2 linked regions of the Nothobranchius furzeri genome follow. The protein of the gene in region 2 purifies or fractionates together with the protein of the main gene of each other region. This does not show direct contact. Links are inferred from orthologs where the notes say so. Each region holds a gene or a part of one and is shown on either strand. Other genes may lie near its edges. The genes, in order: nr2c2 and jazf1a.

Region 1 (4,263 bases), on a different chromosome or scaffold from region 2:
TAGTGGAGGATCTTGTTCTTCCGGGTGGATCATCTGAAGCATTGGTCTGCATAACTGTCAATCATTCTGGGGAAGCTTTCACGTCAAGGCCGTTGTCGTACGTGCTCGTTCCTGGGTTAGTTTTCATTTCCTGCTCATTCTGTTTATGTGTAGAGTGATCCGCCTTCATTCCTTACCGTTCTCACCGGGTTCCTGTCGAAAGAAGGGGGCGGTTATTTCCAGAAATTCAGAAATACCCTCCGTCGTACCTTTGACCAACAGTTAAATCTTAATGTTGTGCACCACTCAGAGTTTAAATCCAACTTCTAAATAAACTTAATCAAACTAATCAATTAACTGACCAAGTATTAAATATTCCAAAGTATGAAAAAAAGTTTTAGTTGCAAAGACTTTATTAGAGTATTTATTACGCAGATGTTATTGAGGAATGTAAATATACGTTTAAGTTAATTCTGCAGTGGCACGGGGCTGTCTGAGGATGTGCCTGACTTTAAGTCGGCTTTACTAAGGAGGTGTATCAGCCGATGCAGATGCGTTAAAAATGTCAAATATCGGTCTGATATATCGGCCGAACGATATATCTGTCAACCCCTACTCTCTTTACTAACCCTGGCTTCATGAGGAAGTTGTACCTGTATTCTTCCTGGCATCAAGCTGTCTGCAGCAGTAAAGATGACCTGCTTTGCGTTGTGATTCTCCGGTGAGGCCAGGATGACTTTGCTTGCCCCTGAGCTGTTGGCCGTGGCCAGGATGAACTGCTGCTTGGGAGCACTGGAAGGATTCATCGCTGTCACGATCTGGATCTTCTGACCGGTCTGCTGGTCGGTTACAATCTGACAATGTGAGAGACACAAGAGGTAGGTTATAAAAAAGAAGATGGGCAACGGGCATGAACAGACACCAGCGTGTTTAAGGTTAAGATAATGACAGAATTACATTAATAATTAAGAGCTAGAGCCTGATTTAGACTCCTCCATCAGCTCAGGTGCAGAGTCACACATGCACTGATGGAGACGTTTTCCTTTTATTGCCTAAAGAGTGTTGCAAAGCTATATCCCACCAGGACAACAGAGGGTGTAGCGGCTTCCTGCAGTTGTGTCACTGGTCCACAATAGTGTAGTGTAGTGCAGTTGCCACATCTAAACCCACGTTTCCTGTAATTTCCTTCCATTAATAAAACATTTGTTGAGTATCTTTGTTCTCCTTCAGTTACGGGTGTATTAGCATTCATATTGTCCGACTTTTTCTCCGAGACATTCTTCAGTCAGCTCTTTTTATATTTTTGAGGGGGGAACGGCACTGCTGTTAATGAATTTAAAGGAAGTGGCGCCCTGACCAGGCACAGTCACTTTCAAATAACAGTTAAAAACATGGGCAGAGCACCTACGTTGACGCATCATGGCGTTGCGTGTCTCCATAACCAGTGCAAACGGAGAGGTATAAGTCAGGCTTCAGTCACAGCGGTCAAACTGTCTTAACTGTGTTGACGTTAAAAGAAGAGCGCCAGCAGGAGGGGTCCAGTTGTTACCTGTATTTGCGGTGGTGTTGTTGCAGGCTCGGTGGAGATGACCTGAAAGCGCTGCGGAGACTCACTCATCACGGAGTCTGATGGAGAGGATAACGCCTAGCCCAGTTAAACAAATTATCCAAGATCATTTCCCAATCAAAGCTAATAAAAATGAGTGTCTATAGTGCTTTTTCACTGACTTTATATAAAAACCTACCAAGAAACAGGACAATGTGAAAATCTTTCTCGGCACACTCACCTCTGCTTCAGACTCTGCTTTCTGCTGTGACAGCAGGTTCAGGCTGGTCGACATAATGATGAGATGTCATTAGTGGTGGGGTCTGTTTAGAGAGATACCAAGGACATTAAGTCTTATTTGCATGTTCATTCTGTGTTTATCTTCGTTTGATCTGTGATGACCAAGAGATACTAGCTGCAATGTGTCAGGTAAAAAACATTGAACAAAGAAGGATTTAAGATGCTTTAGACAAACTAACTAATCTGCCATTTAGGATGCTGAAATATCCATGATTTTGTTTGACTTGGGGCTGAATCTTTGGTTTTATTTTATGTTTTTGAACAGACTAGCACCTAACATTACCTACAATGTTTTACATGACAAACCCACGTTATATACATGTGTAATAGTTAGGCCAATCAATTTCCCTGTGGGATTATTAAAGTATTTTTGAATTTGAATTGATTTGTTATTTAAAGGTAGTAAGAAGCGGAGTCGCTTTGGATTTCTGTACGGTCGTAAAAAACAGCTGCTCTGAAATGTGCTTCCCAGGACTGCGGTGCGCTTCCCAGCAGGGGTACATTTTTCGGCACATCACCAGCAAGAATGGATTGATGTTGTTTAGTGATTGGCCAAACAATTTGTCCATCATTGACACTACTCCAAATATACCATGAAACAAAATGGAGAATTTGGCAGTTAGCCAATACCACCATAGATATTACGGTAATTAGTATTTAAGAGACTTTTTTGACATTAGAATAGCTAACAGCAATTATTATAACAGTACAACTCAAAATACATATCTAGAAAATATAACACCGACAGAGTCCTCATCCACACACGTCCACGGGATGGCAAAGGTAAAAGGGTCGATCGAGTTCACCAGCGGGAGCTGTCCGATGTTAGCTACTGAAGCTAGCTCAATGCTACAAACAGCTGAACGTAACTGTCTCCCGCTGTGTTTACCAATCAAACCGACAGTGATGTCGTGTGTCATTCCGCTTAATGACAGAGGCCAGACGGCCCCTAACGTTCCTCAGTTCATACCCGGATACCGAGCAGTCGGACACGGACAGAAAGAAAGCTCAACATCGGCTAGCCGACAAGCTAACCGAGATTAGCTCCTTTCTGCTCGACTACCAGAGTCGTGAGAGTGGTTTCAGTAAAACATGTACGCTTACCTCTTAGAGTCAAATTCAATGCGCTCTGCTGGTTTTAAATAAATATTATTGTTGTGGTTTTCGTCTGGAAAAGGTCATAGTTCGTGACCCCTGGCCAGCGCACTAATGATAATGACTTTTCCTTCTTCCTCTCTCTCGCGTCCGCCTATTCACCCCCCTCCCCACCACCCTTGTCGCGAGCATCGGTCGCGAGCATAGACTGTACATATACTGTACGTCGCGAGTCAGACAGAACTGACGTCATTATGTCTAAATGCTCATTGACACGTTGATTGTAAAACTAATAACGTGGTGAAGATCAAGTTTGACGAAAAAAGTCGAATACGCTTTTTGTGATGAGTGCATTTTACCACGTTGGATTTGTGGAGGATTTGACGGAAATATTCGTTTTTGGTTTACTTGTGACTGCTTCATGGCCTTAAATATTTGCAGTTATATTTCTATTCATGACAGTTTACTTGAGTTGTTTATGTGAAATTAGCAGTAGGCTACCCCTTATATATAAAATCCTCATGTTAAAGTTTAATTTGACTTTTAATTTGTTGTTCCTTAGAGATGCTCTTTTCACATGTTTGGTGTCTGTGATCATATCCATCCTCTCTGTTTCAGCTGCTTCCATCAGGCTGTTTTGACACTTTCAGATCAGCAGACAACTGTCCGCTGAGTTTAAAAAGGCAGTTTTTAAATAATTTAAAACTCTGTATTATTTAAAACAATGCAGATTGAAGGATTTTTATTTCTTACATTTATTATTATTATTATTAGTAGTAGTAGTAGTAGTAGTAGTAGTAGTAGTATTTGCTTTAAAGGGTAAACTATGGAAGCCCATTCCCGCCACTCAGATAAAAAAAAATTATTATCTCTGACTTAGCTATCATAATAATGAGATACTATCTCATTATTATGACTTAGCAGCTCATAATTATGACTTAGTATCTCATAATTATGAGATAAATTCTGCTGGCCTCCACGGACTTCCGTTTTTGCACTTCCGTATTTTTCAACCTGCAGCACACAACTTCGTTCATCATTCTGACCACTCAGTGCAAATGAAGTTTACAAGACGGGAGGTATAAATACACAGGGAAAATTAGGAACACTTGGGCAGGTTAACGATGGGCAGGTGAGAACAATAAGGCTAATCAGGGCAGGAGAGAGACACAGTCAGGAAGGCAGGGGCAGATACCAGACGCCCACAAGGCCACATAACACAGGGGACCCGGGAAACACGTGACTTGGGAACCCGGGAAACACTTGACTCGGGGGATTTGGTCTCTGGAATTCGACAGCAGCAGGCGCGGGACACTGGAACTCTACAGGACACTGGGGAACCG
Region 2 (4,567 bases):
AGTAAGAGATCTGACCACTAAACCAGCATTCTGCTACACAGACACTTGGAGTCAAAGGGCAAACCAAAAGCCAGATGGGGCGTTTGTTATGGTTTTTTTTTCATTTGGGGCTTCAGGACTGGGGAAATAATACCTGTGTCCACATTTTCCTTAGTTAATATCCTTAATTCACTGGAAAACTGCAGATCAAGAGATGTGCAGCGTGATAAAATTGAATTCTGGGCTAATTTCAACCTTTTCAGTGAATTTGGAAGGAAACGCCCTGCTCACCATCATCCACAACATGACCCATGATCTAGAGTGTTATCACCACCGCTGGCGGCTCTGCTGAGCTCTTTGTTAGTGAGACAGCAGGTGTGCAATAACTCAGCCAACATACTGCCCCCCCAACCCTGTCAGAGACTGCCAGTTGCCATGGAGACTGGCTCAATGAAGCATCCATTTTACCCCTTCACCTCCTTCCAACGGCCTCATGAGGAGAGAAACTGGCCACCAGTAGTGACTAGCCCTGATTTTATTCAGAGGTTCACGAGTCAGCGCACTCCTCTGTGGTGTCACCATCCTTTTAGTTCCATCGGTGCACCAGTTATGCACCACTGGGTAAATGTTCATTATCAACCACAACTATGATAATTCAGGGTTAGGGTGCAAAATAAACCTAGAATCCCTAAAGATAAGTAAGTCTTTCATCTGTTGACTGCCTTTCAAGCACACACACAGTTCTAAGAGGTCTCTCCTGTTTTGGATTTTAGCCACAAATAAATGTTTCGATTGAGTAAACAACGTTCAAAATCAGACAATTTTTACCCGAGTCGACGCCCAAATCTAGGAAGTGGTTGTGGCGCCCTCAGCGACTACTGCTGAATTCGACTGTGACACCTGCTAATGGGGCTGAACCATCTATCGTTTTTGGACCAAACTTGCAATTTCAATCAACGCGATCACATGATGATTTTTTGTGCTTCTGACTGACCTGATCTGGGTTTTCCCCTTCGCAGGGGAGAGGGGTACCGGGGCTACAGCCGATAATGGTGGCTGTGGCCATCTGCTGCCAATGCCGTTTCTCAGCACCGTGGGTGAGTGAGGGACAGAGACGTCTCCAGCAGCGGACCAGGATTTACCATAATAACACTTTAGTGGACTTGAAGGCTCAACTTTTCTTCTTTAAAAAACGGTTTGATGTTTCTTCTGACGGCACACCGTAACTCGAACAAGCACGTGAAACATGTTGGTTCAGTGTTAGAGTGTAGAAAGAAAAACACAATCAGACGGCCCGGAGAAATGTCCAGGCAGCCGGCCTTGGTAAATAATGCAGGGATCACTCTGGGTGCATTTTTTAATAAATATGTTTCGAAGCTATTTCTACCTTCAGTTTTCTTCCTTGCATTGTTAGAGTAGAACCAGAAGAACATACCTTTTATTAACCGCCTCACTAGATAAAAGTCACAAGCTGCTCCAAGAACATATAAAAGATAAAAAAGAAAAACATGTTCTAATAATATGATTTCTATTACTGCACTATCAATTATGTGCTGTTTAACCTTGATGTGAATACAATTGTGAATCAAACTGAAACATTTCCAGACATTGTTATCCCTACCTGTTAATGAGTGTGTCACCACTGTGGAGGGACTGTGTTCCACCGTTCTTTACAGAATAGTTCTTATTCAGCCACATTGGATGGCTTCCCAGCATGCATGGCCTGTTTAAGGTCAAAGGTCAGATGTTCTCTTCATGACGTTCTGCTAGAGAGCAGAATTCATGGTTTTATCCGTTATAGCAGATGGCTCAGGTCCCGAAGCAGCACAGCAGCCCCAGACCATCACCCTACCGCCACCGTGTCTGACTGTTGCCATTGTGATGTTTGTTTTAAAACCAGTGAGCCCTGAAGCGTTTTAGGTAATTTCCTGTGATCGTTTTTTATATTTTTTTATTCAGAACATTGTTGCTTTTTTTTAGATCTTTTAGCCTGCTCTAGTGACCGGTTCTGATGAAGTGAGGTCTTATTTCTACATATCCAGTAGTTATCACGTCTGGGTGAGGCTGGTGGAACTGAACTCAATTTTCTAAAAAAGTAGGTTCATTTATGATTTACCAGGGGGGTCTGTTACTTCTCCACACATGGCCAGGTTGGTTTGGATAGTTTTTACCATCAATTGGACATTATTGTTTGTATTTATTCAGTTGTTTTTTTTCTGATCTGAAGCTTTAGATTGATCATATTTATGTGATGCTGCTGAAAACGTGACATCACCCCTTCCTCTGGACTGCAGCATTTACTTCAAGTCATTAAAATGAAGGGAAACAAATTAAAAGTTCATTTATAACCGATAAGAGTCAGAATGTCTGATAATTAAATGAAACGGTTTGTTTTATCTGCAGGAAGATCCAATTCTGACTTGTGTAGGTTAGCCTGAAGTGACGTCAGAGCCGTAAGGGGGTTGTGCAGGTAGAGCAGACAGGGATGCTCTGACTGGGGGGTCGGGCTGCTGCTGCAGCATCAGGCCTGGTACGTAAACACGGACCTATCAGCGCTGTTAGCTGACAAACCGCTGCCTGGCCGGGATGCTACACCTATCATACCTACCATGCTCGACTCGCCAATGCTAAAATCACAAGCATGGTGTCATTAAACGTATATTAACATTACAATGTAATACATGTGTAATAATAATAATAAAGGAGGAAGTCGCTCTCTGCCGAACCTCGACGACGAGCGGGCAGCAGAAATAGCGGAATGTAGCTAGCTGCATGCTAGCCGACTCCGGCTAGCCGCTGAGCCCCTCCGCCTCCCCCCTCCTCCGGCCCGGACTCACCGATGTGATTGTCCTCGATGTGGACGATGAGCTCGGCCAGAGACTCGAACTGGAGACCGCAGCCCCCGAACCTGCAGGAGTTGGAGAAGAAAGAAGCGGCGGCGATGCCAGTCATGTTTCACGGCGCTGGTGGTGCATTCACCGGGAGGGGTGGAGAAGAAGGGTGGACCGGGAGCCGGGGTTGGTGAACGAGGAGGCAAAGGCTTCGGGTCCGGGACGGGAGCGGGGTAGAGCGTGGAGCAGACACCGGGCGGGAGGGCGGCCAGACAGGACGGGACAGCGGCGGACGCAGCTGGGAGGCTGGTGGTGGTGATGGGGGTGGGTGGGTGGGGGGAGGAAGGGTAGCGTTCTACGTCACGATGTGTTTACCTGTTGGAGTCAGCGCGCGCTGAGTATCAGCAGAAAATCTGAGCAGCATCTGTGATGCTCCCTCACTTATAACATCTGAGTGTTCTGGGATGATTTCAGAAACAGAGAAAACAAAAGGCAGAATTCACCATCTTAATTAGATATGTATGTTTTTATTCGAACACATTGATGTTTTTCAGTCAAAGCCTCACGTGGAGCTTAAAGATAATCGTATCATTTCAATGTAGATTAAACCACATCACCTGTAAATGATCAATTAAAATGACGTTTACATCAACCAAAAGAAAGGCACTTGTTTCAAGTAGAAAATTATAATGTTTTAATTAGTTTAAACCAAAAACCTTGATAAAATGACAAAGGCGGAACCAAGTGATTGATTTACAATGCAATTACTGTTTTAAAACAACTACAACCATTTATTCAGGTTATATTTTACTTTTTAATACAACCGATGTCAATGTAATCAGTCAGTTTGCCGCAGAATAACTCATTACTTTGTTTTAATGAATAATAAATAAACAACAATCATGTATAGATTTAAACATAAGAGCGGATTTGTCACAAAATAAACAAATTCATGCATAAAGGTTTTCGATAAAAGGAATAAAGTTGTTTCTACGTATAAATTTATCACCATCTTTCATGTCGAAGCTTTTTGAACAAACTCAGTTTGGAGAAATAGAGATAACATCTGAGCTAACAGCTACTTCAAGAAAAGATTAATGCAAAGTTTTTTAAAATTTACAACATTTCCATGATTTCTCCTCCATCACCTCAGTTTTATATGATAGGCAGGTTTTAAATTACGAGAGAGCAATGGGAAAGCCCAGGGCCCCCAAAAGGGCAACCTTCACACACCCAGGAAGACCTCTAAAAAGGTCCAGCTTCTACCAATAATACATTACTTATAAGGATTTTCATCATACTGGGGTTTCTTTTGAGCTGATTGGCCATGCAGCTATGTCCATATATAGCCACAGGAACATTCTCAAAGTCCATCCTTCCATCCATTGTCCATTGTCTCCTCCCAGTTGGATGCGGCCAGAAAACCTCACCAGGGAGGCATCCAGGAGGAATATAACCAGATGCCTGAGCCACCTCAACTGGCTCCTCTTGATCTAGAGGAGCATGAGGATCTACTCTGAGCCCCTCCCAGATGACAAAATCTTCTCACCCTATCTCCAAGGAAAAGCCTTGGCACCCAGAACTAACTTTGGCCACTTTTATCCACAGCCTCATTCTTTCAATCACTACCCAGAGTTCATGACCTTAGATGAGGGTTGGAACATAAGGTTGAACGTCTTTTCCAAATCCACAAAACACTTGTAGATCAATTGGGCAAACCCCTATATACCCTTCGGGACTGCCATGCCATTGAGGAG

The links.
Region 1: the proteins of jazf1a (region 2) and nr2c2 purify together in Homo sapiens (affinity purification with mass spectrometry; 4 studies listed by BioGRID and IntAct, with this or other methods). This does not show direct contact. The link is inferred for Nothobranchius furzeri from reciprocal best matches to the Homo sapiens genes JAZF1 and NR2C2.

The regions. Positions count from the first base shown.
Region 1 is NC_091755.1:54,623,727-54,627,989, forward strand, and holds the start of nr2c2 (nuclear receptor subfamily 2 group C member 2), read right to left. Parts: upstream 3,116-4,263; 5' UTR 2,930-3,115; intron 1,849-2,929; 5' UTR 1,821-1,848; coding exon 1,767-1,820; intron 1,625-1,766; coding exon 1,529-1,624; intron 834-1,528; coding exon 633-833; intron 1-632. UniProt on the Homo sapiens protein: Orphan nuclear receptor that can act as a repressor or activator of transcription.
Region 2 is NC_091751.1:29,727,601-29,732,167, forward strand, and holds the start of jazf1a (juxtaposed with another zinc finger protein 1a), read right to left. Parts: upstream 3,069-4,567; 5' UTR 2,932-3,068; coding exon 2,817-2,931; intron 1-2,816. UniProt on the Homo sapiens protein: Acts as a transcriptional corepressor of orphan nuclear receptor NR2C2. Inhibits expression of the gluconeogenesis enzyme PCK2 through inhibition of NR2C2 activity.